2 linked regions of the Sus scrofa genome follow. The protein of the gene in region 1 interacts with the protein of each later gene in a pairwise test. Links are inferred from orthologs where the notes say so. Each region holds a gene or a part of one and is shown on either strand. Other genes may lie near its edges.

Region 1 (15,179 bases):
TTAACATGATGGACCACAAGGGAACTCCCAACGCTCTTTTAGCAAGAACAGTTGACAGACTGCATTCTGAGCCACAAGATACATTTTTAAATATATTTTTATACATGCAAAAGAATAGAAATCATAGCTCTCAGACCACAGTGGAATTAGACCAGAAATCAATAACGAAAAGAGAGCTGCAAAATGCCAAAATACTTGGAGATTAACCCCCACACTTCCAAATAACACACGTCAAAGGAGAAATCTCAAGAAAAAATTCCAAAGAAAATGAAAATACAACTTATCAAAAATTTGTGGAATGCAGCAAAAGCAGCACCATGAAAGACATTTATAGTCCTGAATATATGAGAAAAGAAGAAATACATAAAATCAAAAAAATAAAAAATAAAATCAACAATCTCACCTTTCACCTTAGGAAACCAGAAAAAACAGCAATCAAATACCAAGTGAGGAGTTCCCCCTGTGGCACAGCAGGATCAGTGGTGTGTCTGCAGCGGCAGGGATGTGGGTTTGATCCCCAGGGCAGTGCAGTGGCCTCGGGACCCAGCGTTGCCGCAGCTGCAGCATAGGTCACAACTCCAGCTCGGATTTGATCCCTGGCTGGGAACTCTACCTGCGATGGGGTGGCCAAAAAAGAAAAAACCAAAAATACAAAGTAAGCGGTAAGGATTTGGTAGAACAGAAATCAATGAAATTGAACATGGGAATCCAGAAAAGTCACAAAACCTAAAACCTGGTTTACTGAAAAGATTGATAAAATCAGTAAGTTTAAAATAAGTAAATCAAGAAATATTAAAGGCCTATTAATAGTACAATGGGGAGTTCTCATCGTGTCACAGCGGAAACGAATCGCTCAGTGGGTTAAGGATCCGGCATTACCGTGCACTGTGGTGTAGGTCGAAGACGCAACTCGGATCCCACGTTGCTGTGGCTGCGGTGTAGGCTGGCAGCTGCAGCTCCGATTTGACCCCTATCCTGGGAACCTCCATGTGCCACAGGTGCAGCCCTAAAAAGCAAGAAAAAAAAAAAATAGTATAATGGAAAAACCAGACATGAGAGAGGTTTCGTTTAGGGAGCAGGAAATGGCAGCAGGTGGATAGAGGCTTTTATTTATTTATTTATTTTTTGCCACAGCATGCAGCAGCTTGATGTGGGATCTCAGTTCCCAGACCACAGAAAGAACCTGGGCTGCAGCAGTGAGAGTGAAGAGTCCTAAGCACCAGACCCCCAGGAAATTCCCTAAGACTCTTTTTTTTTAAAAATTATAAAACTTCTCAGAGTTCTCACTGTGGCTCAGTAGGTTAAGAACCCAACATTGTATCCATGATGATGTGGGTTTGATCCCTGGCCTTGTTCAGGCATTCCCACAAGCTGCAGCATAGGTCACAGATGCAGCTTTGATCTGGCGATGCTGTTGCTGTGGCTGTGGTGTAGGCCGGCAGCTACAGCTCTGATTTGACCCCTAGCCTGGGAACCTCCATATGCTGCAAGTGCAGCCATTAAAAGAAAAAAATACAGGAGTTCCCGTTGTAGCTCAATGGTTAACAAATCCGACTAGGAACCATGAGGTTGTGGGTTTGATCCCTGGCCTTGCTCAGTGGGTTAAGGATCCGGCATTGCCGTGAACTGTGGCGTAGGTCACAGACGTGGCTCAGATCTGGTATTGCTGTAGGTCTGGTGTAGGCCGGTGGCTACAGCTCCGATTCGACCCCTAGCCTGGGAACCTCCATAGGCCGCGGGAGCGGCCCAAAGAAATAGCAAAAAAAAAAAAAAAAAAAAAAAAAAAAAAAAAACAAAAAAAAAAAAAAACCACCATTTTGTCAGCAGAATGTTTTTTCAAAATCTACACAAAAGAAAAGCACAGCTGGTGTGAGAGAAGCAGAGGTGGGGCCCCCTTGCCCTTGCAGCCTCGCAGGCACTTTGAGAAGCTACATTCAGACCCACATGAGGAAGTTCAAATGCACCCAAGGTGATACAAAGACACTTACTGGGGGTTCCCATTGTGATGCAGCAGGTGAAGAACCCAGCTGGTATCCATGAGGATGCAGGTTTGATCTCATGCCTCGCTCAGCGGGTTAAAGGAACCGGGTTGCCGTGAGCTGTGGTGCAGGTCGAAGACGTGGCTCAGATCCGGCGTTGCTGGGGCTGTGGTGGAGGCCGGCAGCTTACAGCTCAGCTTTGACCCCTAGCCTGGGAACCTCCATATGCTATCGGTGCAGCCCTACACACACACACACACACACACACACACACACACACACACACACGGTCGCTGGATGGGCTTGACTCACGGCCCAGATTCCCTGCCCACACACACACACACACACACACACACACACACACACACACATACAGTCGCTTGATGGGCTTGACTCACGGCCCGGATTCCCTGCCCAGGCTCCGTGCTTCCTGTTGTCCTTCTGCAGGACTTGGAAACAGAAGGGACGGGGGCGCCAGAGGAAGCCGATCATCTTTAGGGGCAGGAAAAATGTGGCTGCCTTTGCTCCTGCTGGTGCAGGAGTCAGGGGGAACGGGAGAGGGGTCACGGAGAGCTGAGGCGTCCTCTGGAGGAGAGGCAATGGGGGTCCTGGCTGGTGTCATTATCCCCAGGGTGGCAGGTGGGCCCATAGCAAGGGCCCAATTTGATGGCTTGGCAGGACCTGCTCCAATCACTGAGTTGGATGCTGAGGCCAGTCTGGGCTCAGCCAGAAGGTACATCGTGGTTGGTGCGTGATACGTAGAGAGGCAAGGAAGGGCTGCGGGTGGCGTGTGCTCTGGTCCCATATCTATAAGCCACTGTGATCCCTTTGGGGACACCAGTCACCAGCGTACAGAGGTGGGAAACCGGGATGTGGGGAGGGCCCGTGTGTTCAGAGCAGCAGAGGAAGAGAGCTGGGAGGCTGGATGTGCTGACTCGCTCCGGGAAGTGTGAGACACCCTAGGACAAGGCCAGCTGCCCCACCCACCCTGGCCCTGCCAGACGCTGTCAGCACCAGGCCAGTGCAGAGCCAGGGGCTCACTCCCCTGGCAGATCTGTGCTGCCAGGGCCGTGAGCCAGTGAGACACTGCCCGTGGGAATTCGACTCCGGATGTTAATGAGTTAAGATTGCAATTGAGGAGCCCCCGTTGTGGCGCAGTGAAAATGAATTCAACAAGAAACCATGAGGTTGAGGGTTCCATCCCTGGCCTCGCTCAGTGGGTTAAGGATCCGGTGTTGCCGTGAGCTGTGGTGTTGGTCACAGATGCAGCTCAGATCCTGCGTTGCTGTGGCTGTAGCTCTGATTTGACCTCTAGCCTGAAAACCTCCACATGCTGTGAGTGTGGCCCTAAAAAGCAAAAAACCAAACAAAACAAAACAAAACCCTGCAATTGAAATTAAAACCTGGAGTTCCATTCATGGGGCAGTGGAAATAAATCCAACTAGTATCCACAAGGATGTAAGTTCAATCCCTGGCCCTGCTTAGTGGGTTAAGGATCCTGCGTTGCTGTGGCTGTAGCATAGGCTGGCAGCTGCAGCTCTGATTCGACCTCTAGCCTGAGAACTTCCATGTGCCGTAGGTGCAGCCCTAAATAGATAAAAAATAGAAGGAAAAAAAAAAGAAATTGAAACCCACCTCCACTTCCAGTGAGAAGCAGCAGACAGACTTTCCCTATTCCTCCCACTGAGCACAACTAAACTCTCGGCCTGGACCAAACCAGCGCAGGACGGCGGGAGGAGGAGGAGGCAGAGACGCAGGGCTGCTGCCTGAGGGACGCCGAGGCACCAAGTGCCCTGGGTTCCTTTTGCCTCCTGTTCCAGACTTGGAGCTGAAGGGCCAGCAATCAGAACCACCAGCCTGCCCGCCCACACCCACTCTCCCTCAGGCCCGAGGGGCCCCCCACCATCCTCCCCGGCCAATCCGAGCCCCCGACATTCCCGGGGACAACATCCCAGAGCTCCAAGGGGGTAGCTAATGTTCTCGCACCCGACTGCTGATGCTGCTGCCTGCGTGCCACCCAAGGTGGAGCAGGGTAGGAAGGAGCCCCCCACATGGGGCCGGGGCCTGGTGGACAGCCGGCCAGGACTGCCCAGCCGTGACCACCTGGCTGCACTTCTCAGACCAACTCAGAGGAAAACAAACTATCGTACTTTCTAGTCCCTTAATAGCATCGAATTGCTTGACTTCTGGCTGCGCCCGCAGCATATGAAAATTCCAAGACCTGGGATCGAACCTGTGCCACAGCAGTGACCACAGCGAGTCCTGAACTGCTGAGCCACCAGGGAACTCCCCGTCAACCTTGCTAAACCAAGGGTGCGGCGCCACACCTGCCTCAGGCAAGACACCAGCTCCTGCTCAGGGTTTAGCCGACAGCCTGCTTGACTCCTCGAACATCGGCACTCGTGCCAGTGCCTTGGCGGAGGGCGGCTGGGTCACAGAACCCCCCACGCCCGACTGGGCCTGTGCTGCGATCTGAAAGCCAAACTCCCCCAGACCCTTCCTGAGGCCGCACCCTGTTCCGGTGGGGGGGGTGGCTACATGCGTGTGGGGGCGTCACAACATGCTGACAAAAGCGAGAACTTATAAATTCCAATAAAACTTGACACCAAGGGGAGTGCCTGTTGTGGTTCATTGGTTAACGAATCCCTGTAACTCGCTAAGTGTGCACAGTCAGAGAGGCTTCGGCTGCTGAGGGCCAGCACACAAGCGTGGACCGCTCTGCTTACTCTGCCAAACATCCTCTCAAAACTGGATGGTTAGGAGTTCCCGTCATGGCGCAGTGGTTAACGAATCCGACTAGGAACCAGGAGGTTGCAGGTTCGATCCCTGGCCTTGCTCCATGGGTTAAGGATCCGGCATTGCCGTGAGCTGTGGTGTAGGCTGCAGACACAGCTCAGATCCCGAGTTGCTGTGGCTGTGGTGTAGGCCAGTGGCTATGACTCCAATTCGACCCCTAGCCTGGGAACCTCCATATGCCCAGGGAGTAGCCCAAGAAACGGCAAAAACACACACACACACACAAAAAAAAAAAAAAAAAAAGAAAGAAAGAAAGAAAGAAACTTGACACCAAGGGATTTGGATGTAAAATTTTAATAATAAATTGTGCCAGTAGAAGCTTTTCAAAGGCAATGATACATCAATAAATAAGAGTTAAACCGAGTTCCTGAGAAAGAACCCACCACACGGAGCCTGTCAGAGCCTAAGTAAGAGCACGGCGAGACCGCAGCCCCGGCAGGCTGACGCCCCTGCGGGAGCACCGCGGCCCCCGACGCCGCTCTCACCACGGAAGCCGCACCCGGAGCCTCTGCCGCCGAGACGCCAAGGCACGCAGACGTGTTGGTGCCGAGATGCACACTAAGTAATGGATGTGTCATGCCAAAAACCTCAAGGAAAAATATGTGGAATAATATAAAGGAAAATAGGACGCGTCCGGTTTTTAAAAAGCAAAAAAGAGAATTTAACGTTTTACTCAAATATAAATCACTTTAAATAGGAATCATACTACTCGCAGTGGGAATATTCTGTGTTAATCTATGAGTTATGTAGACATCTACACGCCTAGGAAAGTACATATGGCTTCATCACCTTTCTTATTCCAACCGCCCTGGGAAACGTCCTTCTACAAAGATGAGAAAAACGTCATTTTTAAAACCAAGGGAAGACTGACCCTTCGAAGCACACCAGAGACAAGGTGCGGGACCCTGAGGTCACACCCCTCCGCCCGGTGACCCAGGGTCTGGGACACGGCCCCTGCGGGCGCCTGGAGGGCAGGGGGGCTCGGGCACCCTGGCTGGCAAGGCACGCGGAGGTCGGCGTCTGACCTGGGCTTTCTTGGCGGAGCTAAGTTCATCCCTTTTGACGAAGGCAAGGTTCGTGGAGGACAAACGTCTACGCCTGCCCCCAAAGAGTCCAGTCGCACCCACGACACAGTCACACCACTTCACAGACACGCGCGCGTTTCCGCAGCGAGACAGGAGGAAGCCGGCCCAGGCCGGCTCCGGCCCAGGCGCCGGGGAAGGACGTGTTCACAGAACCCGCTGTGAACGGCAAGACTCGATCACGTCCCAACAGGACAAGCCTGTCCCTGCAGCCCTGCGCCGAAGCTGCCACCTGGAATCGCACCAGCCGGCTCCCCTGCCCACACTTCCTATCGCACCACAATATGCAAAAAGCACAGAGGACAAAACAACAGAAGCAGCTTGCAACGTTCTATCACAACTTTGAAATGTGGGAAAAATATAAAGCAGAAACAACTGTGCGAATAAAATGGCATCAGTTACATCACAACAGTGTTATCTCTTTTTTTTTTACATTATTGCACAGATTTCTTATCACATGATGTTCAGCTTTGATGTCTTTCCCTAAATGTGAATAAGTGCTGTGGATAAAATACAAACGTAGAAAATAACAGCAGCATGATTTGTCAAAACCAATCCCTATAATTTAGTTAGAAAAATGGCTATTAAACAAAATAAGTGCTCTTTCTAAACTGTACTAATTCTTTAAAATATCATTTTAATGCAGTGAAGGTCCTCTAAGCCGACTCGAACCCCGTGGGTCCCGGGCCGCCGTCCTGGCGGCCGGGGGCTCAGCGCACCGGGCGCTACACGTACACGGGCTGGCAGCCCCCTGACGACGCCCCCGGCGGCTCCGCCTCGGCCTCGGCCCCCGCGGGCTTCGGGCAGCGGAAGGGGTAGCCGTTGTCGTCAAAGAACCGCCGGAAGGTGAACTCGTAGAAGGCGTGCTCGGGGTGCCGGCCGCCCGGCGGGCCCAGCGCGTCCCAGGCCCTGCTGCCGTCCTCGCTGCCGTCCTGCCAGGGCCCGTCCTCATCCACGGGGTCAAAGTTGGACGTGTCCATGGGGTGGCTGATGGTGGGCACGTAGGGGGCCGGCTGCCTCCGGATGTCGCTGGAGAAGTCCACGGGGCCCAGGAACGGGTGGGCCTTCAGGTCGTCGGCCCCGTTGCGGCCCAGGCGACGCTCGGCCGCGCAGCACAGCTTGGCGATGAGGTCCCGGGCCTCGGGGCTCAGCTCCACCTGCGCCGGGATGTGCAGCGTGCTCTCCCAGTTAATCACCTGCGGGGACAGCACACCGGTTTTCCTCCCCCTCACCCCGGCTGACGGCGGCCGGCCCGGGACAGCGTGAGAGCATGTGATCTCAACGGCCCTCGATATTCGAGAAACACAAAGAGCACAACGAGCCATCGCCCCACGCGGGTCAGAATGGCCATCAGCAAAACGACCACGAGTACCAAGTGTTGGTGAGCACATGGAGACACGGGAGCCCTCGTGCCCTGCTGGTGGGAAGGTCCACTGTGCAGCCAGACTGCAAACAGAACGGACGGTCCTCAAACAGCTCAAAACAGGGCAACTGTATGAGCCTGCAGAACCGCTCCCGGCATCCGGAAGAGACAAAACCTCGATTCTGAAAAGATCCGTGCACCGCTACTTTCACGATAGCCAAGACGTGGCAGCCACCTAAGTGTCCACCCACAGAGGAAGGGCTTAAGAAGAGGAATGGAATACCACGCAGCCATAAAAAAGAATGAAACAATCCCACTCGAAGTAACCTAGATGAACCTAGGGACTGATTATCATCCTTAGTGAAGTCAGTTCAGACAAAGACAAGTACCACATTGTACCACTGCTACGTGCAATCTAGAAAAACATAATAAAATGAACTTACGAAACAGAACCAGACTCACAGACATGCAACAAGGACCTACTGAAGAGCACAGGGAACTGCCCCATGTCTTGTAATAACCTGAGACAGCACAGAACCTGGAAACACCACACAACTGAATCACTCTGTGTACACGTGAAACAAACACATACCATAAACCAACTACACGTCAATCTAAAAATTTTTAATATCAAAGTAAGACTTTGATAGTTTCCCTTCGGGAAAAGAGAAGAGACAGAGAAGGACGTGAACAGCTAATGGCCCGCGTGGTTTTAGCGGGAGGCCCACAGCCTGAGGAACGGGGTGCGAGAGACACCCTCGGTTCCCGACGCTCAAGCACACAGAGCAGCCTGGGTCACGGTCAGGTTCCCTGTGAAGAGGACGCCTCGGGGACTTCTTTTTGTTCCTTCCCGGCTGCACACGCAGCATGTGGCAGTTCCTGGGCCAGGGGGTCACCCCTGCGCCTCGGCAGCGAGCCCAGCCACAGCAGGGACAGCGCCAGATCCTTCATCTGCTGCGCCACAAGGGAACTCCGAAAACGTTGTTTTTCTTTTCTAAGGGACTTCCTGTTTACACCCGGAGTCAGGATGAACCAAGGCCACATGAGTGGGGTGGCGCGAGGGTGGAGCGGGGGTACGAGGGATGGTTGGAACCTGAGTAGTTGTTTACTGGAGCTGAAGTTATAAAACTCAGAGAAGAAAACAGAGAGGAGGATCTCCACGATGGTGGATCTGGCCCTGATTTCTTGGATATGACACCAAAAGCACAGGCAATAAAACACAAAACACATAACGGACTCAACAAAATTTCAACTTTGTACACATCAAAATCAGCAGAGCGAAAAGGCAACCCATGGAGGGGGAGACTGATGCCCAGTGTAGATGTGACACAGGATTAACGTCAGGAATACAAGAAGAACTCAACAACAAACCCCCAAACCACCTGATCAAAAAAGGGCAAAGGAGGAGTTCCTGCAGTGGCAGAGCAGAAACAAATCTGGCCAGGAACCATGAGGCTGTGGTTCGATCCCTGGCCTCGCCCAATGGGTTAAGGATCCGGCGTTGCCCTGAGCTGTGGTGGAGGTCGCAGATGCAGATTGGATCTGGCATTGCTGTGGCTGCAGGCTGGGACCCCTAACCCGGGAACTTGCATGTGCTGCAAGTGCGGCCCTAAAAAGCAAAAAAAAAAAAAAAAGACAAAGAAAGAAGTGGGGGGTGGGGCCAAGGACTTGAAGAGACCTTTCTCTCAGAAATGAGCACGAAGCACAGGAAGAGACGTTCAGCATCCCTGAACACAACGGACACGCAACTCAAAACTGCCAGGAGATACCATCTCACACGCACCAGAAAGGCTACTACTAAAAAAAGAGGAAAATAAATGTGGGCACGGATGCGGAGAAGCAGGGACTCCGCTCCCTGTCGGAGGGAACGTCAAATGGTGGAAACAGCACGCAGGTTCCTCAGAAGGTTCCAGGTGGAATAACCGCGGACCCAGCAAGCCCGTCCTGGGCATCGACCCAGACACACTGGGAGACAGCAGGGACCAGGCAGGCACCTTCAGGTTCACGGCAGCCCTGTTCACAAGGGCAGGGGACACACAGCCTGAACGGCCACCACCGGACGATGGGCAGACAAAGTGGAACGTTACTTACACACAGTGGGGTACCGTTCAGCCTAGAAAGGAAATCCGGACACAGGCGACAGCAGGGCTGAACTGAGTGAAACGAGCCAGCTACGGAGGCCAGAGCTGCACGGTGCCACGTATACCAGGGCCCAGCCACAGAGGCCAGAGCTGCACGGTGCCACGTATACCAGGGCCCAGCCACGGAGGCCAGAGCTGCATGGTGCCACATATATCGGGGCCCGGAGGAGGCCACTTCATGGCAGCAGAAGCAGCAGAGAGGCTCCGGGGCCCCAGGGCCACCGCTGAGTGGGTCAGCTTCTGCCTGGGATGATGGAAACATCGGGAAACGGGCAGTGGTGACAGCTGCACACCTTTCTGAACAGACTTAATGCAACTGAACTGTACACTTAAAAGGGGTTTCCATGCCAAGTGTCGGCACATTTATGCACCAGGTTATCATCATGCAGGCAAATCAGTCACTGGTTTAGCAGTTCGATGAAGATACAGACACTGCCAAACTCCAACTTATGATCACTGTAATAAAACCAAGCCTTAATTTAAGGTTTTCCTAACCAAGAGGTTACTGATTTAGGGTCTCCCGTGGACTGAGGGGCATGTGAAAACGTTCTAGGACTGTCAGGGAGCAGGTGGGAGCGCGGTTCTCAGAAGTTCCAGAGACGTCAACGAGGCTCCCGTCCCGCCTTCGAGGCCATCCAACCATTCACTTCGGAGAGTAAAGGGCCCCTGTGCTAAAACTATTTAGCACTAAGTTGTTACGTGACAGAGAGATTTTACTTACTTGAAATGAACATGAGAAACATGCAGAGCTAGCCTGACCACACAGCTGACAACCTGCCAGCGGCAACCAGGTAACACCCAACATCCAAAGCAACACAGCGACTTGCTCGGGCACCGCTCTGAGCTCTGAGCTCTGCTGGGTCTCGCTCGGCCGCCCCAGACCTGCAGCCTTCCTGCTTCTCTGTTCCCAATCCCCACCTGGAGATACCAAGACGGCAGGGGACCACGGTCCCGTAATACCTCAAGTCAAAACCTGGGTCTGACTCTGTGCCTTTACTTATTAAAACACTTTAACTAAGTAGTAATAATAGTATGTGTGTGTGTTTGTGTGTGTGTTTGTCTTTTAGGGCCACTCCCGTGGTGTATGCAGGTTCCCAGGCTAGGGGTCAAAGCGGAACTGCAGCCGCCGGCCTCCACCACAGCCACAGCAACGCCGGATCCAAGCCGCATCTGTGACTTACACCACAGCTCATGGCAATGCCGGATCCTTAACCCACTGAGCGACGCCAGGGATGGAACCTGCATCCTCACGGATACTAGTCGGGTTCATTAACCACTGGAGCCACGATGGGACCTCCCCACAACAATACTTTTGAAAACTCCCGTTACACACAGGGACAAGGGACAGCACTACACCACTGGGGATAAAAGGTGGATGTCGGCAAAGACCGCCCGGCTCATCAGGCAGCCCCACGGGGCAGCCCCGACTCCCGCTCCGTTACCTTCAGCTGGGTCTCCGTGGGAGTCGGGGCCAGGAAGGGCGGCTGCCCCACCAGCATCTCGAAGAGAATCACGCCGACACTCCACCAGTCGCAGAGCTGGGTGTACCCTGAAAGACAGAGTCGGGCTCCTGAGGGGCACAGGCCCGGATGCGTCCTGATTTTCCACCATCAGCCTGTGACAAGCACCGTATGTGCTCTCATGGCGACAGACTAATTTAAAAAGACTACTGTTACTGTTGGTAACAATACCGACCAGAAGTCCAAGTTCTTGAAGAACCAAACACGAAGTACACACGAGGAACGAAGCGGCAATTCTGTGACCCGGTCGGGGCGGTGCCGAGCGCTTCCCGGGGAGGTCTCGGGACCTCGGCGGCGCCCCCGGCAGGTGGGGTGGGAGCAAGGAGGGGACCCCGCGGAGCTCCCACGCCCGGGACTCAGCCAGGGCAGCCTCTGGAAGGCCTTGGGGCAGGCTGGTCTTCCTCTGATTTTGTCCCATGTCCCAACACAAGCCCCGCTCCAACCTTGCCGTGCCCAAATTCTTGCCAAAGGTGCACTGCAGTCCCTGCCCAGGGGACTCCTCTGGGCTGCGCCGAGGGCTGGGGGGACAGGGTGGCCGCCTGAGGGCCAGCACCTCCCGCCTCCCACCTTTCCTGGGCAGCGAGGTGAACACTCCCCACAGCCTCTCAAGGCAGCCGCAGTTACAGTGAGGCTGGCAGGCGGGCAGCTACCAGGGGACACAGGTGGGGGCCCTGTCGGCTGGCTCCAGTGACCTGGGTCACAGCTCCCTGAGTGCATCCCCCGGAATCAAACCCACAAATGCAGCCGCTGATAGCACATGACCAACGATCAGCTTCCTCCTGCGCCCGGCCAGGCGGGGCACAGGGTCCCCACATCCTGCCACCTTCCAGGCGCTTGGGGAGGCATCGGAGGAAGTGACCCTCGCCCACGCTGACCAGGGAAGGCAGTGCCTCCCAGCCGGAGCCTGGGACCCTGGTGCCCCTGGCACGCACTCTGTCCACACCAGCTCTGGGGCGGCTCCTCTGGGCTTGGGGGCAAAGGGCAGCCCCACCCTCAGGGCCACACACCAGGGCCACATGCTGAGAACACACTCTCAGCCCCGCAGGAACCCGGAGGGCGACTCAGGCTGAGCACTGGAGCCGGGGGCACACACGCACCTTTCCGGAGGAGCACTTCCGGGGCGATGTAATTCGGGGTCCCCACCAGGGAGTGCGCCAGACACCGCTGGTGCTGCCTCCGGGCCCTCTGCTCCAGGGTCTTGAGCCGGTCCCCACACCGACAGTTGGACACGTCGTCCCAGAGGTCGCTGGGCTCCATGCTGTCCTGCCGGGTGTGGCTCCCTGTGACCCGGGGCGCAGGGCGGGGGAAAGAGGAGGAAAAGCAAGGTGAACCTTCGCTCTTCAACACGCAAGAGACCCCCAGTTTCAAAGGTCAAAGTTTTCCAAGGCAGCGCCCGACACAGCGAGAGAAGGAGTCCTCCCGCCAGCTCCGCGGGGCGGCTGTGGTTCCGGGCCTCAGATCCAAGCCGTGGGCGGTGGCGGCAGGGGCTGCGCCCGGCGCCGGGCGGCCTGCATGGGGCGCTGTTCGAGGCTGGCGACAAAGGTGCTGTGACTGGGGGATGGCGTTCCCAGCATGCTCAGGCCCACCTCTGAGGCTACGTTTTACGACAGGCACGGAAAACCAGGAAAAGATTAAGAAAATACGAACATTGGAGCTCCCATTGTGGTGCAGCAGAAAAGAATCTGACTGGGAACCATAGGGTTGTGGGTTCGATCGCTGGCCTCGCTCAGTGGGTTGGGGATCTGGCGTTGCCGTGAGCTGGGGTGTAGGTCGCAGATGCAGCTCAGATCTGGCGTTGCTGTGGCTGTAGCTCCGATTGAACCCCTAGCCTGGGAACCTACCTCCATACGCAGCAAGTGCAGCCCTAAAAAGCAAAGAAAAAAAAAAAAAAAAAAAAAAAAAACTAAAAAAAGGGAAACATGAACATAAATGAGTCCAGTGCCAAAAGACAAGCATGAATTAAATGATTTAGGATTAATTTTGAGTTAAAAAATGGAAGCCTGAGCTATAGCATTAAAATAACTATTTCAAAAATTCATACCATAAATAAGAGTTGCCATCATGGCTCAGTGGATATGAATCTTACTAGTATCCATGAGGATATTGGTTCAATCCCTGGCCTCGCTCTGTGGGTTAAGGATCTGGCGTTGCCATGAGCTGTGGTGTAGGCCAGTGGCTACAGCTCTGATTCGACCCCTGGCCTGGGACCCTCCATGTGCCACAGGTGTGGCCCTAAAAAGACAAAAAACAAAAACAACAACAACTCATACCATAACTAAGACAACAACCAGCTGTTTCTGACGTTTCCAAACAGCAGAGCTGCCAGAGGTAAAGGTCACTGGGTGCACAGCGCGGTCTACACCTGCAGCAGGCCAAGGCTGGCCGAGAGCGAGAGCTCCTTGGGAGGCCATGAGGCTTATTTTTGAAGGCTTGTTTTAACAGGCAGAGAGACGCTTCCTGCGCAAAGCCCAAAGACACCCCATGGCCTGCCGTCCTAACAACATCCCCGTAAGACTTGAGGCCACTAACGTAACACGGCAACCTCCAGTCGGGCTGCCTTTCCAGGGAGAAGAGGGTGTCGCAGCAGCGGAAAAGCACGGGCGGGGGGCGGGGGGGGGTGGCGCTGGCCCGGGCTGTACCTTTCTGGTAGTATTTGGAATTGTGAGTCCACCTGAAGCCCGTGCAGAGGCCGAAGTCGGTCAGCTTGATGTGCCCGTCCAGGTCGATCAGGATGTTGTCCGGCTTGATGTCGCGGTGGATGAAGCCCATCCTGTGGACACTCTCGATGGCCAGCGTCAGCTCGGCGATGTAGAAGCGGGCCAGGGGCTCCGGGAAGACCTCCATGCGGATCAGCAGGCTCATCATGTCCCCGCCCGGGATGTAGTCCATGACGAAGTACAGGCTGTCCTTGTCCTGGAAGGAGTAGTAGAGCTTCACCACCCACTCGTTGTCCGCCTCCGCCAGGATGTCCCTCTCGGCCTTGACGTGGGCCACCTGGTTGCGGCTGAGCACGTCCTTCTTCCTGAGGGTCTTCATGGCGTACAGGGCGTGCGTGTCCACCTTGCAGGCCAGGCACACCTCCCCGAAGGCGCCCACGCCCAGCGTCTTGATTTTCACGAACATGGACTTGTCCATCCTGGCCCTCTTGAGCCGGTTGTAGTTGGACTCCTTCTGGTAGAGGATCTTCCGCATCTGCTCCTGCTCGGCCTCGCAGAGGCCGGCCTGTGCAGAAGGAGACAGGGTCACCCCGGAGGACACGGCGGGGACGGGGCCCCGGAAGGGGCAGGACCCCCCTCCAGCCCGTGGAAGGAGGGAAGCGACGGAAGGGCCGAGCACCAGAGCCAACCAACCACGTCTCGCTCCTGCCGGCCACGCAGAGCCACAGCGTGGAGGCGGAGGGAGACACCCTAGGGAGCGCTTGTTCTGGTGACTTTAGGTAAAGGTCACTGGGTGCACAGCTAAATGTAACTTCTGTTAATGACGTTCCTGGAACTCTAAGAGCAACGGATAACTGAACGGCTCAGGGAAAGATGGTAAAACAACAAGAAAAAAGCCAGTGAAAATAGGACAGCAGGAAGAGCATACATTTTACTTCCCCAATTTTAAGTTCTCACCTGTGTGATCAACATTTACCGTAATCTTTTAATTTAAATAACTTCATTAATAATTACTTGCTCCAACGGTTACTGTCAATTAGGGTATATTTCAAACATTACTGGCTAGGAGTTCCCATCCTGGCACAGTGGAAAAGAATCTAAGAACCATGAGGTTGCGGGTTTGATCCCTGCCCTTGCTCTGTGGGTTAAGGATCCGGTGTTGCCGTGAGCTGTGGTGTAGGTCACAGACGTGGCTCTGATCCTGCGTTGCTGTGGCTGTGGTGTGGGCCGGCGGCTACAGCTCCGATTAGACCCCTAGCCTGGGAACCTCCATATGCCATGGATGTGGCCCTAAAAAGATAAAAGACAAAAAAAGAAAAAAAAAATTACTGGCTAATCATAGATGTAATTAAGAAATAGAACAGAGTTCCCACTGTGGCACAGAGGGTTAAGGATCAGGCATTGCCACAGCTGCAGCTGGAATTCAATCCCTAGCTCGGGAATTTCCATCTGCCATGGCTTCGGCTGTTTAAAAAAAAAAAAAAAAAAAAAAAAGGAGTTCCCGTCGTGGCTCAGTGGTTAATGAATCCGACTAGGAACCATGAGGTTGCGGGTTCAGTCCCTGCCCTTGCTCAGTGGGTTAAGGATCCGGTGTTGCCGTGAGCTGTGGTGTAGGTCGCAGATGCGGCTCGGATTGGACCC
Region 2 (15,868 bases), on another chromosome or scaffold:
GCTAAGTTTTTTGAAGCCGTATGTTTTCTTCTTTTTACTTTTACCTCAACCATCTCCTGGACCTCCTTGTCATTTATACTTAGGCTTAAATATTTGCTAGACTAAGATGATGCAAAAGAAGAAGGTATATAGGTCTGCAACAAAAAACCCAGGTAAAAATATTTTTGTCTAAATATTTTAACAGATTGGATTCCATCATAACTTTTAAGGAGTCATTCAGTATAACGTGTACTTAATTCAATGAAGTCACTTAATTCCTGATATTTTAAGTCTTTTATAATGTATTATTTTGTATAATGTATTATTTTTAAATGGTTTAGAAAAAAAATCAAGGTGAGCTTTTATGCTAAAATATTTGGGCATGTTATACACTTACAAGGCTTCTGCAAGAAGAACAGTAGAACAGATTTCTTTTTTTTTTTTTTTTTTTTTTGTCTTTTTGCTATTTCTTGGGCCACTCCCGCGGCATATGGAGTTTCCCAGGCTAGGGGTCGAATCGGAGCTGTAGCTGCCAGCCTACACCAGAGCCACAGCAACGCGGGATCCGAGCCGCGTCTGCAACCTACACCACAGCTCACGGCAACGCCGGATCGTTAACCCACTGAGCAAGGGCAGGGATCGAACCCGCAACCTCATGGTTCCTAGTCGGATTCGTGAACCACTGCGCCACAACGGGAACTCCAGAACAGATTTCTATACTTGCCTGAGGAGGATCATTTTAATCCACTTTGGAATTTATGATAACCTTTTTAATTGTTGAAGATCTTAGCCCTTTTGTAGCTGAACTCCAGTAAGTCTGTCCTTATTTAAGCATGTATGGAATTAAAAGCTAAAAAGACTGTCAAGCATAAGATGGCTAGATAACAAAATGGCATTTTGGCATTTTGGCAAAAGGCATTATGAGATTTTACAGGCATATTGAAAGTGTTTGGTTCTTAAACTTATTTAAATCATACCTCTGGGGTTGGAGTTTGGTGGGGGAGGGTCTCTAGTTGCGTAGAATTCCCTAGGGTGAATCCGATCCGCCTCGTGGCTACTCGGGGTCGGGGTGGGGGGTGTGTTGGGGGGTTAGAGCTATTGGATATGCAAAGGAACTGAAGTCATCTTCTAGGAGCACAGACTTCTTGGTGAATTAAGCAATCCCGAAACATGATTTTGTACTCAAACAAATTGACATCAATTCTGAAATACATGGCAAACTTCAAGACCAAAGCCACATTCATTCTTGTTGACTTTAACCTCAAATTATTTCCCAAGATTTTGCTCTCTCTGGCTTCTGCTGGAAGAGTTTGGAAACACAGCTACTGTACCCAGCTTGCAGAAAAAGAAGTAAGAACAGTCTTTTTATTTTTTTGCTTTTATTTATTTATTTTTTAGGGCCATACCCTCGGCATATGGAGGTTCTCAGGCTAGGAGTCGAATCTGAGCTGTAACTGCCAGCCTACACCACAGCCACAGCAACTCGGGATCCCAGCCAAGTCTGTGACCTACAGCACAGCTCACAGCAACAACGGATCCTTAACCTTACTGAGGGAGGCTGGGGATCAAACCTGTGTCCTCATGGATACTTGTTAGATTTGTTTCTGCTTTGCCACGATGGGAACTCCAAGAATAGTCTTTTAATATAATATTTTAATTCCAAATTTGATAGACTCTCTCTTCTCATCACCTTTCTTTTAAACTTTATGTGTGGAGTTCCCGTTGTGGTTCATTGAGTTGAGAACTCAACAGACTGTCCATGAGGATGTGGGTTCGATCCTGGCCTCGCTCAGTGGGTTAACGATCTGACATTACTGTGGTTGTGGTGTAGTCTGGCAGCTGCAACTCCAATTCGACGCTTAGCCCAGGAACTTGCATATGCTGCAGATGTGGCCATAAAAAGAAAAAAAAAAAACAAAAACCCAAAACTTTATGCAGCTGTTAAATTAACTGGTTTCATGTGCTCCCACCACAATCTTTTTTAAAAAAAAAAGGCAGACTGACATTTTCTGATGCAATGGTCTTATCTTCCCATTTCAATAAGGAGCACAATCTCTGGGTTGGAACCCTAGTCTTGTTACTAACTCCTTGCCTGACACTGGGTAACCTTATTCCTCTGGCTTCCTGAGTCCCTCATTATAAAGATGGGAGATGTGAGATATGCATATAAAGCAGTTAGCATGGTGATGGGCACTTGCTGTTTTTTCAAATGGAAATATCTCTAAGATATTCGATTATGTTATTACTAGAAAATTAACTTGGCATCAGTTAAGTCACAGTGGTAGTGACTTATTTGTGCAAAAATTAAAGCAAGCCCTTTGCTTGTAGAGTTGCCCACTGTTTAGATTTTACTCACCTGTAACTCTGCTTTTTGGTCCTCTGTAATTTCTGGAATTTTTGAATCTCAGCTTTGGATTCTAGGGCTTTGATGAGATTCATGCCTACTGTGTTTGGTGTGACTATCTCATGATTGGTGATCTGTTTTCCTATCAGGAGTCACATGACAGATATCTGGTTATCTTTCCTTTAGTGATATTAGTAACTATTGATCATCTGTAACTGGATCCAGATTTACTAAGTTGCAAAATGGTGATATTCTAGCTACCTCTGACTTCTTATATGTATTAGCTGAAATATTTCTAAAAAGATAGCAGTCCCTCATCTACTGTTTGATTACCCAGTATATTTTCACTTTTTATCCATTTCAATTCAGTACAAGGACTGGTGTCCCAACTGAATACTTAAACACAGCCCATTAGGGCTTTAAAGGATTTTCCATGTAATCTAATTCACCACTCTCTTTTATGGATGAAGAAATAAACTCAAAGAGATTAAATTAGTTTTCTAATTTCCAAAAGCTCTTGGGGAGTTATTAGAGTCTCAATAGGAAACAAGATAATTTGAGGTGGACTTATTTACAAAAAGACCAACTGCAAAGGGAGGGAGAGGTTATAGGGAAGCTTTAGGGGATTGTGAAGGAATTTGAAACTAGCAGCTTAAGAGCTCTCGTCATTTCTAGGTGCCAAGGACAACGTGAAGGACGAGTATGAAACTTTGTTAAGCCCTGTACGGATCTGCCACCTTGAGAAGAGCAATGACTTCCTATTGAGCAACATGGTCAGCCTGATGGGATTCACCAGTCCCAGTAGCTGACCTTCCTCAGATTCCCTGGGGGGACAAACCCAAACCCAATTGGTAAACAGGAAGCGAGGAAGCCCATTGATTTAACTTATAGATTAGTCTCTGGAGGCGGGAGCTTGCAGGGGTGTAAACGGAGAGGAGAACTCAGGAAAGAAGTCCAGGCAGGCTTGGATTCCCATTCAGGTTCTACTCTACCATCCAACCACGCATTCCAGTGCTGGCCTCCATCCACAGAACTTATATTTGTCAAAATAATTCATGGCCCAGGATGATCTTATCTTCCTCTGGTGAATTTTGTTTGTTGAATGCCTGGAATTACTTTAATCCAATTTCAGAGTTTGAGAATTTTTTTTTTTTCTGGGTTAATCAGGTGTCTAGAGACAGGGTTGCTGTCCATGTAAGTGTTAGTCTACTCCTACACTACATTGTCCTTTCTATTGTCCTAACAGGTGTTGTCAAAAATGCAGTTCAGTCTCCCAGCTGCCTAATTCAGATCCACCAAAATTGCCAGGCCAAAAGCAGCCTCCACTGTAGGCACACCCTCTGAATCCCTGGCCTTTCTTCCAGAATCTGGCCAGATATTTCATTAATTCTTTGATGCCTTTATTTTAAATTTTGTCCAGCATTCTTAGTCTTCTTCAGTGAGAAGGTTCATCAGTATTACTTAAGTTGTCATAATCAGATGCAGAAATCTCTCCCTTATATTTCTCTAGCTCTTTATTGGGAATTTTTTTTTTGCCCTACCAAAAGTTATTCTCAAAGGTGTCCCAAGGACAGTCTCTAAGTGGAAGTGGGATGGACTCTGAGTGAGAATACCATTTTGATCAGCAAACTTCAGTTCTGCTGCCCTGCTTTTTTAAAGTGTAAAGATGTCATGGACTCTTTGCAATATTATAATTCTATCTTTCATTGACTATGATTTAATCTTTGCCAAAAGCCTCTAGGAAAGCCTGCTATTTGTGGTAAAGAGCTAAGCTATATGTTACTTCTCTAGTTCCTGAATTCCTTTTTTCCCCGATGCAGAATGCCAAGTTGTGAGCTTACAATGAACAGTATAATCCCTTCAGTTCTTAATTAAGATCATAGAACCAGAAAGCATTATATCTGACATAATTATTTCAGATTCCTCTGAAATGCCTTCACTGAATTAATATTTAATTTTATGTTCTTAGCTTTAAAAATACGAAATCCAAATTTAAAGAACACATATAATTTTTATAAATCCACGTTTGATTGCCCTGTATTGCCCAGTGTCCTCTATATCAAATTCTATGTAATAAACCTTTATAGAATTCAGTGCCAAGTTAAGACTTGACTCTTCATATGAATATGTGTCCTTTTCTGTGTTTTTATTTTGGCAGCCAAAACACAGACCTAAATTTCTCAATTGATTGAGTTCTTAATTTATCCCAGCTGCTTGATAACTCTTTTATTGGCTTCCTTATTGATTTCTAGTAATTTAAAATTATATTTACCTTGCTTTGTGTATGGCATTAAATCCCACTTGTCTAAAGCTACAGAGAAAGAAGGAAGCTTGTTAGCTAAGGCAAAAGCAAGCTAGGAGCTAGGAGTGTCTCCTACTACCAGGAGACCCGTGCTCATTTCAGGTTTAAAATTCACCATTTTGCCTCTTCAAGAAGAAACCTGAAAGCTCAAGATAGGCAAAGCAAGTCACAAGGCCAACTCAGGGTCAAAGAGTGACAGACACTCCACCTCTTGATGGAAGAAGCTGCAAAGAATTTGTAGCCATTTAAAATGGTCATGGGAGTTCCTGTTGTGGCTCAGCAGAAACGAATCCATGAGGATGCCAGTTCAATTTCTGGCCTCGCCCAGGGGGTTAAGGATCCGGCATTGCCATGAGCTGTGGTGTAGGTCACAGATGCGGCATAGATCCCCGCAATGCTATGGCTGTGGCGTGGGCTGGCAACTACAGCTCAGATTCGACCCCTAGCCTGGGAACGTCCATATGCCAAGAGTGCAGCCCTAAAAAAAAAAAAAAAAGCAAATAAAACAAACAAACAAATAAATAAAATGGTTCCCAAAGAGGAGACGTTGGAGGGGTGGGGGAGGTGGAGAGGATGTGGACTGGGGTTTGGGATTGGCATATGCACACTGTGGTATGTGGAGTGATTGGCCAACAGGGACCTGCTGTATAGCACAGGGAACTCTACCCAGTATTCTGTGATAACCTATGTGGGAAAGGAATCTGAAAGAGAATGGATGTGTGTATGGATAACTGAATCACTTTGTTGTATAGCAGAAATTCTTACAACATTGTAAATCAGTTATACTGCAATAAAACTTTAAAGAATGAAAACAAATTTAAAAAAAGGCTTTCATCCTTCCAGACAGACACCCCGAGGCATACACAGCAACCTGAAGGCAGGTGGGATTTCAGAATAGTGCCCCTGCCTCCGCACAGGCCCCAAATTTGGCTTGTAAGTTGAATCTACACTATTCAATTGCTTATCAGCTATAAAATGAAATTTCACTTGGTTTCACCTAATACACGTGGTGTAAGATTTATCAGCTAAACCATGCCATTTAGGTGGGAGAGCTTTGGGACCAAGAGCAGTAGTCTTTCAGTGTTGCATTGGGGTTTGTCTGCCAGTAATCAGTGACATCTCTAAAGTTATTAAATTAATCCAAAGTAAAACAAAGCCAGCAAAGTAAAACAAAATCATATATGAAAAATTGCTCAGAAAAGACCTGTAAGCAAGGCAATAGTGACAAGGTCTAAAAAGTTATGGTTTTTAGAATATAGCTTTATATGTAACCTTGGACCTTATTTGTGTCATCAAATGCCACTTGAGAATTTGGGCATTTTCGTTTTCCAGACGTGGTCCCAGTGACTTTCCTGCGTTTATTGTTTTGGGCCAGTATGAAGTGGAAGATTATCTACTCTCAGAGAAGTTTAGAGGCTTGACAAGTTGTTGGAAATATTAAAAGTAGTAAGCCTATCAACATTTTGTTTCTATATGATCACTGACTCACTAAGTATCTACTTTCCTAATGATATCAAGTTCAAAAGCAGATGTGGATCACACAGATTCCAGTTGCCTTCCGAGGAATTCACTGCCGTCATTTTATTTTATTTATTTTATTTCATTTTATTTTATTTTTTGTCTTTTTAGGGCCCCACCAGGGGCATATGGAAATTCCCAGGCCCGGGGTCAAATCGGAGCTACAACTGCTGGCCTTCGCCACAGCCACAGCAACCTGGGATCTGAGAAGAGTCTGCAACCTACACCACAGGTCACCCCAACACAGGACCCTTAACCCACTGAGCGAAGCTAGGGATCCAACCCACATCTTCATGGATGCTAGTCAGGGTTGTGACCACTGAGCCACGGTGGGAACTCTCTACTCCCACCATTTTCTAAACCTTTAGAAAAAGCTTTGCTTTATTTGGCTTCATTGAGGAGACAATTGTGCAAATACAGTTGTGCAGCTGCAAGGTGTTTTCCCACACTACTCTTTCCTTCCTTCTTTGAGCTCTTTACTACTCAACTGCTTTCGTCTTCCTTTTTCTCTGGGCTTGCGTGTAATTTGCAATAGTCTTCTTCCTTTTTCATAGAACTCATTCATCTCTGGAAAGTCCAAACCTGTTGCTTTATTTCACTGTAACTTTCACTGGTCTTCCTAAAGTTATAGCATTCTGGGGAAGTTCTCTGAGAACTTACACATCTGTTTTTGCTTCCCAAATAAGTAGATTTTTTTTTTCTTTTAATTGCGCTTAAGCAATCTAGGCATTTTTCCCCTGTGGTGCAATTTAAAAAAAAAAATAGAAATAATCACTTAATTTCCTACTTACATCTGGTGGATGATGATTTGCCAAGTGGAGTATAGAACAGGTTTTCTATCTCAAGTAAGTAGGCGTTGCGTTGCGGGAAATTTTAAGACCCAGATGGGAATATTACATTGTTCAGCAGTTGGAGCTAATCAATTACTCATTAATGACAGCAGAGCTATTGAAAGTTTGAAAATGAAAAGCACTAAGCGCAGACCCTATAAATTTACCTACCAGGCCACTTCCGGAGGGCGACTGTCACCAATAAACCGCCTGCCAGTTCAGGCCCAGCTGCTAGACCTCCCGCCTTGCGCAACGCGGGCCTCAGCGCTGCGCTAGTCCTGGCAGCGCCGCACGCGGACCCGATGCCGGCAGGGGGCGCTGGGGCCACGGGGAACGCTGCAAATGCCTCCCGAGTATTCGCAAGAGAGACTTTTGCGCCATCCTGCTATCGCGTGCGCTCCGGAATTTTGCCTACTCTAGGTCTTCTTGAGTGGGGTCCTGGTGGGTGACGGCGGAGAACCTTAGCCCCGCGTGGTGCTCGGGGCTGGGCTGAGGTCCGGGAGCCGTGGTGCGGTCGGTTGCGTCCGGGCCGAGCTTCCCAGCAGCGCCCTCCCCCGGGGCGGGCCCTGACTTTCGGTGCCGCGACGAGTGGGCGGCAAGAAGCCGGTGGCCGACACGCAGAGCGGCTGCGAGGAGCGGCCAGACTCGAGCAGCCAGGCTGGTGCTGGGACGGAGCCGCCGCGGCGATCGGCAGAGAAACGGGGCCAGGGAAGGAGGAGGAAATAGAGCCGATGAAGGGGAGCTGCCGCCGAGGAAGGGGGCGGATCCTTTCGGCGGCCGCGGCCGCTGTTCCGGGACGCAGTCCAGGGAGCCTGCCCGCCAGTAAGGTGCTGGCCAGGTAGCTCCCCACCCAGAGGGCGCCCTCCCCGGACCATCCCCGAGAGGCTGGCACGGAAGGAGCCGGGACCGCGCTCTGGGTGGCCAGGGCGCACCGCACCCCGAGAGCGGCGCCCTTGAGCCGCACCGCCGCGCAGGTTCGCCAGCCGACTTGTCCGCCGGCCAAGAAAAGGAAGCGCTGTCCCTTCCCGCTCAACCCGGCCTCCCCACCCCTTGTACTCTACACCCTGCAGCGGGCGAGCGGCGTGGCCACGGAGGCGCCGAGGAGGGGCGAGCCGCCGCCGGGCAGCGGCGTCCCTTCGGGGGAGAGGGCGCCGGAGAGGAGGCGGCGGCGCGGGGCGGAAGGCGCGACACGGGATGGCAGCTGCTTAGCCCGACGCGCGCGGAGCAGCCCCGAGCTGTGGCTGGCCAGACGGTGCGGCTGGGCGGGCGACGCCGCTGCCGCGACAACCCGGCCGGGAGAGATGAACGCGGAGGCGGGTGAGGGCATCACTTTCTCCGTGCCACCCTTCGTCGAGGGCGGCAGTTGCCGGAGGGGAGGAGCGGCGGCGGTGGCCGAGGGCGAGGAGAGCCAGCTGCCACCGCCGCCACCGGGCAGCTTCTGGAACGTGGAGAGTGCCGCCGCCCCTGGCACCGGGTGTCCTAGTACCACGTCCGCGAGCAGCACCACCCGATGCCGGGGCAACTCTGGTGGCGGAGGCGGTCGACGGACCACGGTGGCATATGTCATCAACGAAGCGAGCCAGGGGCAGCTGGTGGTGGCCGAGAGTGAGGCCCTGCAGTGCCTACGGGAGGCGTGCGAGGCGGTGGGCGCTGCCCTGGAGACCCTGCATTTTGGGAAACTGGACTTTGGGGAAACCGCGGTGCTGGACCGTTTTTACAATGCAGGTGCGTGTGCAACCCCTTCCCCATCCTCTGCAGTCCGGGGTTATTTCCCCCTCGCCCCCCCCCCCCGCGGCTGCCACAGGGGGAGAAATGTGTTTTGCGGGGCAGCAGGAAAAAACAATTTCTGAGCAGCAATCGTGCTTCCTACTTATTTACTTCTTGCCCCACCTTAAGGGCAACGAGCGTCGCTGCATGCCTGCTCTGGGCGCTCGTTCGCCACGCTTGGGAGAGTGTATGCGGGTGCAAGAGCCTGTGTGTCTTTGTGCGAGAGTCTGAATGACCCAACCCCGGCCCGCGCTGGAGCCCGGAGGTGCGCGTGGTCCTATCAAAGAACTTCTGTTCTTCTGCGGTGTGAGATACTTGCCCCCATCAGTCCGTCACGATTCACTGTTTTGGTCTCTCTTATGTTAGGTTTGGCCCACATTTTCCTTCTATATATACCTATGACTGTTTTAGATGATGTCCTCATTTTTTTCTGTGTACTTTTGAGAGGACAGAAATCATGACTTCTGCCACTCGGCCAGCTGCAGGCAGAGTGGATCCATGTGAATTTACATGTTATGTAATGATCTTCCCAACTCTGCCCTAAGTTTAGGGGCCTGCTTTCCCGTATCTTAGCAATTCGAATTTTCAAGTAATGACTTCTAAAAGCAATCTTGTAACTTACACTAAACTTGTGTGGTATCTTTGTTAGGATTTCCATGAAAGAACTGGGGTCTGTTTTTCATTACCCCTGATGAGCTGGGACGTATATAATTTAACACTGTTTAAAACACTGATAGGGTGCTTTAATGACAAAGATTAGATTGGCCATTAAAGTGTGCCCATTAAAGTGATTGCTAGGATAATTCATGAAAAAAAATATTTTCCAACTGTCACAGATTTCAGCAAGTGTCATTGTAATTCTAGCGATTTGTTAGCAAATGTTAGAGTTAAAAGCATGTTATTGAAATTAACCTTTAGCACCCTGTATAACCAATGTTGAGACTCTGTGTGTATTTTTTTAAGACATGTGGGCGTAAAGTTTGATTTAATAGTGGTTTCAAACAATAAGGTTCTTGCATGTCTGATCACATAGAAGGTTTTATATTCCAATCTTGTTTTCAGTTCTGATTCTCTTCAGTCTTTTGAAAACACCTGAAGTAGCCTTTGTCAGTTTGGGAATTTAGCCAAGCCGAATATTTTAAGAACAAGAAGAACTTCATGTTAAGGAAGCCAGACTAAATAAACTAGGACTTTCTGGTTCTGGTATATTTTACCATTTTGGGTTTCATAACTAGACATGAGTATCATATATTATAGCTTGGTTCCTTGTGTGGCTTGCTATAAAAATTAGATAAACATAGCTTTTCTAAAAATTACGGCACTCTTATTTTTGGATTGTAATTTGGAAGACACTTCAAAGAACTGAAAGATATGTGAGGAAAACGCCCAATGAGATACTGAGCCTATTTTTATTGCACTGATAGATTGGGTATTTTTATAAGGCTCTCTAAAAAAAATCTTAAACTCTAAGCTAATTTGAAAGAGCTTTCTATCAAAGCTTATGTACTGTTTATTCTCCAACTGCAGTCTCTGGGGAAGGGAGAGAGAAAGATTAGAAGGGACCAGACCTTTGAACTGTATCTCATTTAATCTTCCAAACAAGCCTACGAAGAACGTACATACCATCCTTCTTAGATGGGAATACCAAGGAAGTACTTACCATTCTTCTTAGATGAGGAAACCAATGAAATTCTTACCATTCTTCTTAGATGAGAAAACTAAGGGATTCATCACTGGTGCAGGGTCATAGGTAATAACTGGCAAGATTCCACTTCAGGTGTCTGACTCTAAAAGGTCCTGCTTTGACCTTGCTTCCTCCGTTTATCCGATCTGATTTATTCTCAGAATCAAGAGAGGGACGTGGAAAAATCATGTGACGTACAGAGAGCTGGTAGGGACCTTATGAGCCATCTAGGTGCAATGTGGAATAGTGCAGAGGACATGCTCTGGGGGGCCAGCTCGGTCCCATCTCACTGTTTGTTCAACCTGGGCAGCCCCAGTTTCACGCCTGCCTATGTGGCAGACATGAACTCTGAGCTCTCTCATTCAGCGTGAAGATGTTGAAGATGTGACAGAATGAAGATGGCATCAGTTTTGTCCACACCCTTTGTTTTTCTAAACTGAGGGCTGCCAAGTTGGATAGTAGTAGAGCTTTACTTCTGATTCCTAAGAGAGCACTGGCTCCGTCCTCTCCCAGGGTTCAGCGAATTTTTCTCTAAAGGGCCAGTTGGTACCTATTTTCAACTTTGCAGGAGGTCTCTTGTCACAAGTCCTCAACTCTGCAGGTGTTACCCAAGAGGGGCCATAAATGGGACCTAAACAAATAATCATGGCAGTTTTCCAATAAAACTTTCTTAATGGACACTGAAATTTAAATTTCGTATAATTCACAAAATATTCTCTCCCCTTGCCTCCCCCCCTTTGAAAATGTAAAAACCATTCTCAGCTTGCAAGCCTTATAAAAACAGGCCTAGCCAGGTTTTGGCCCCAGGCTGACCTTGGCTCTACATCCTACCTCCACTTGAAAGTTGAATCATTACGTTAAAGTGGGAAGAACATCGTCCCTCAAGTTCAGGCTGAGTTTTCATCCTGGTTCTGCTCTGAACCACGTCATTATGAGCAAGGCTCCTTGTCTCCTTCAGCAGCTTATAAAATCGACCAGGGATGGAAGTCGAGGGGGAAATTGAACTAAATTTCTGAGATTCCCTCATGTTATCCTGTGAGTTTGCCAAGGCAAGGCAGCAGGGCGTGCTAGGACAGAGCATCTAAATAGGAGTTTCAATAGGAGATTCTGGTCCTGTTTTTCTTTTCTCATTTGGCGCAGGTCATTTAAAAGCTCAGAGAAGAGTGGAGGGTTGTAGTAATTGGTCTCTCAGATTCCCTCCAGCCCTCAAATTCTATAATTTAAAATTATAACAGTTCTGGAGTTCCTGTTGTGGCTCAGCAGGTTAAGAACCCGACCCAGTGTCCATGAGAATTCGGGTTTGATCCCTGGCCTCTCTCAGTGGGTTAAGGGATCTAGCATTGCCAAAAGCTGTGGTTCAGATCCTGCATTTCTACAGCTGTAGTGTAGGGCAGCAGCTGCAGCTTTGTTTCCACCTCTAGCCCGGAACGCCCATATGCCACAGGTGTGGCCCTAAAAAGAAAAACTAAAATAATATCAGCACTGATTTCAAAAGGAATCATTCAGTCCATAGAGATGAGTGAACTGCTTGTGTATATCATGTTGCCACCTCCAGTAGCCCAGGGTCGCTGAGAAGCACAAATTCAAATTCTGGCTCTGAGGGTCCTCAGAGAATGCTTTGAGCTTCCAGGAAATAGTCTCTGGAATGAAACTGGCTGGGGATGGTTCAGAGGTGACCCCTCACCTGAGATCAGAACAGTAAGCAAAGAGGACCTAACAAGGCCCTCGACATTTAAAAGGGGATGTTGGTGTTTGAATAGCTCAATCTAATGGAATGAGTAAGAGCGCTGGGTTACACTTTTACTGCTATTTATGTGTACTGGGACCTTTCTAAAGAATAGGTTGCAGGTAAAGGTTTTCACTGACTTTCCCTATTTGATTATCATTTAACTATAATTGAGTTTGTTCTTTGACTACAGTTTTCATTCTCTCATTCTCATTCTGAGAAGACACTATTGTTCTATCAAAGACTGTATGGAAATTCATTGTATTGCATATACAAGACTATCACTCAGAGATGGCACTTGCCAAGCTAACAACACCCCTTTCCAGCCCCCTGAGTTATAGGTGGTAAATTTCTTTAAAAGCTAAGAGGTGTCAGTGATACAGATGTCAGAGATAGAGGTGTTCCCAATGTGGCACAGCAGAAACCAATTGGACTAATATCCATGAGGATGCAGGTTCGATCCCTGACCTCACTCAGTGGGTTAAGGATCCAAGTTTCCGTGAGCTATGGCATAGGTTGAAGACGCAGCTTGGATCTGGCATGGCTGTGGCTGTGGCATAAGCCAGCAGCTGTAGCTCGGATTCGACCCCTAGCCTGGGAACCTTCACATGCCTGGGGTGTGCCCCCCCAAAAAAAGTCAGTGGTACAGATATTAGTGATACAGAGTGACTCCATTCAGGTAGACCAACCCCAACTGGCAGGATCTCAGAATTTTTTTAAAAAAATGAACATTAATTTTGTGAAGTATAGCTAGAATGGGCTTTATTATTTCTCTACTGTGCTTATAAGAAAACTGAACCATGAAGAAATCATGTTCTTTCATTCAGGCTAAATGATTTGAGATTGCTGCTTAGAACCAGGAGCACCCTTTATCTTTCTTATTTTTTTCACCATGCTCACGGCATGTGAACGTTCCTGGGCCAGGGATCGAACCTGCACCACAGCCGTGACCCAGTGGTGGATCCTTAACCTGCTGCACCACCATGAAACTCCAGCACTCTTTTTCTTAGAAACATTGGTATAGATGGTGGTTAGATTTGGGTCTGGTCTATAAAGAATCTTTGTTGAGTCAGTGTACTTGAAGTGTGAAACCCACTCATCTATTTAAACACTCAGGAAAATTATGTTCCTGCCAACCTAAAACCAGGTCTTTAAAGACATCTTCCCCTTTGTTAGAATCAGGAACGTTTGTGTTCATTAGCTCTGGTAGCATATTGGCTGGATGTAGGAGCATCACTTTGGATGCGTAGTGATGAGAGGAGGGACTATGGGTAGTGATGAGTGGATGGTGAGGTACAGGGTGAAGGAAGGATTGGGAGGCTGCTGGGAAGGGCGGGAGGAAGAAGGATGCCCAGTGAAGGAAGAAGCTATGCCAGCAGGGGATCCATGAGCACTTTCACCTTTGTCTCCTCCAAACCTCTTTGGCCCTTGACTTCCCACTGATGTAAGACCCAGGATCACTGCTCTGCTCAGAGGCACCTTGCTCCCTCTCAGGGGGCTCAGGGTTGGATGGCTGCCTGTTTCCCCTTTCCTTGCCCCCAACCATTACATGGCCTGGCCTTGCTCTTAGTCAGGCTCGCTGCTGATTGCAATCTCTTGCTCAGCCTTTAACCTAGTAGCAGCAGTGGGTAACAGGAAGGAAACATGTGCAGGTTGAAATTTTCAGAATTTAGTCTTTACATTTTCATCTGTATTATGTTCTCACTCTACTTGGACCCTTAATAAAAGTTTCCCATTTGGGCCACGTCACTGAACTTTCTGGGTTTGGTTTCCCCTGCCTCCAGCTTAGCTCCTTAGGCCTTCCAATCTCATTTGATTAAACACAAATGAACAAACATAACCTTTGTCTCCTGTCTGCCCCAGACTGAGAAGTCCCTGAGACTCTTCCAGCCCACTTCTGCATTTTTTGCTTTTCAATCCAGTGGTTTTCCTCTACACCAGCTTATATACTTGGAGGGAGTGGGTGGAGTCAGTATTTCCCAAACTAAATGGTTCCATGAACCAGTGTAATAAAATCAGAAGACTGACATATGTTTGTCAATGGTTTATTTTCCAAGTAAGGATATTATAAAGACAGAAAAAGGAGTTCCTGTCGTGGCTCAGTGGTTAACAAATCCGACTAGGAACCATGAGGTTGCGGGTTCGTTCCCTGGCCTTGCTCAGTGGGTTAAGGATCCGGCGTTGCCATGAGCTGTGGTGTAGGTCACAGACTCAGCTCGGATCCTTTTCTAGGAGCAGCCCTAGAAAAGGCAAAAAGAGAAGAAAAAAAAAAAAAGACAGAAAAAGAAAACTTGACAATCAGCCAGCTACTGCCACCATTTCTTAAAAATAAAAAACATTTTTATGTTGAATTAGGGTAGGTATAACCTTAGAATAAACAATAGCTGTTTGGTATAGTGAACATTTGGAAAAACACATTATTTGTTGTTACTTTCCCCACTTCACCACGATGGATGAAAACCTTATCATACCAGTCACGAGAGGGGTATTTGAAAACCTCTGGTCTTAACCACTTTCCAGCCCCTTCCCACTTCCAGTCACTGCTTCTTTGCCCAGGAAACAAGCTTTAGCAAAATTTTCAAAAGAGCAAACTCATAAGGAAAAAGTTTAGGAAAGGATTTTTAGAAAAATATCCCAGTGGAGCTCCTCTCATGTTTTCCATCTGCGTTTTGACTTTGATGCTGGCATGTCATTGCCCATCTGCTCTGAGCCCAGAGCCCTGTACTTTCTCTTGCTTTCTTGGAGGCAAGGTTATATTTTCCCAAAGAAGACCTTTACTAGAAAACTGGGAAAAAACAATGCCACAAAGAAATCTCCAAAACACAGAAATAAATTTGTTTTTAGAGCACCCAGTTTCTTATCCCAAATGTTCAACTACGGGTTCTTACCACTCGTCCTGTTTCCAGCTCCTGGGATCCTGGCCTCTTGCCTCAGCTTGCTGTCCTTTGGTCTGCTTAAGCTATTCATCAGTTGGTAGTTCAAGTGGGTTCCACCTCTAGGTGAGGCTCCTAATTATAAATACACTGGCCTTGTCCGACCAGTGGCCTTGGCCAGTGCTACCCCTCCGGGAGTTCTCTGCTACAAGTCAGTTCCCCTCTGGTAGCTACAGGGACTGTCCCCTGCTTCCTGTTTTGGAGACCTGCTTAGAGGCCCGTTCAGTTCCTGTTTCTGGTTTGCAGGAGAAAATTGGTTCACCGCTTCCTTGTGGAGCAGAGGGAGACGGACGGGCGCAAAGCCCAACGAATGTGCAATTCTCCACCAACAGGTACCAACTGGTTCTGCTTTCTTTCCAAGTTGTTGCCCCAAGTCGTCCCTTCAGACAGCAGCCTACTCTGCCTGGGGCAAGATGAGAGTTGAGAATGTGGGAAATGAGGTAGGAGTGGGCAGATGCAGGATCCAAAGCTCTGTGAGTATCAGGAAGAAACCAGCCGCCTTGGGGAAGGTATATCTTGAAGAAAACAGACTCACTTTCCCATCATTTGGATGTAGATAAGTGGGGAAACTGGCTGTGTTTAAGAAAGTTACCCCTTATATTCTGGGAGCAAAATTAGATTTGGAAATTTTATTAGCGACGTAAAAGTAGAAAAGCAAGGCAGGATTTTAAATTATTGAAAAATCTACTGATGATTCTAAGACATTGACTTCTTTAGTTGCTTTAGTATATTGGCTTATCTCTCTGGCTGGAGATATTGACTCAAGAAATTCATCAAAATATGTG

The links.
Region 2: the proteins of LATS2 (region 1) and MAP3K5 come close enough for resonance energy transfer, tested with the Homo sapiens proteins (2 studies listed by BioGRID, with this or other methods). The link is inferred for Sus scrofa from reciprocal best matches to the Homo sapiens genes LATS2 and MAP3K5.

The regions. Positions count from the first base shown.
Region 1 is NC_010453.5:1,220,470-1,235,648, forward strand, and holds the end of LATS2 (serine/threonine-protein kinase LATS2), read right to left. Parts: intron 14,104-15,179; coding exon 13,521-14,103; intron 12,162-13,520; coding exon 11,979-12,161; intron 10,911-11,978; coding exon 10,804-10,910; intron 7,054-10,803; coding exon 6,583-7,053; 3' UTR 5,054-6,582; downstream 1-5,053. UniProt on the Homo sapiens protein: Negative regulator of YAP1 in the Hippo signaling pathway that plays a pivotal role in organ size control and tumor suppression by restricting proliferation and promoting apoptosis.
Region 2 is NC_010443.5:27,372,588-27,388,455, forward strand, and holds the start of MAP3K5 (mitogen-activated protein kinase kinase kinase 5), read left to right. Parts: upstream 1-7,555; 5' UTR 7,556-8,274; coding exon 8,275-8,698; intron 8,699-15,868. UniProt on the Homo sapiens protein: Serine/threonine kinase which acts as an essential component of the MAP kinase signal transduction pathway. Plays an important role in the cascades of cellular responses evoked by changes in the environment.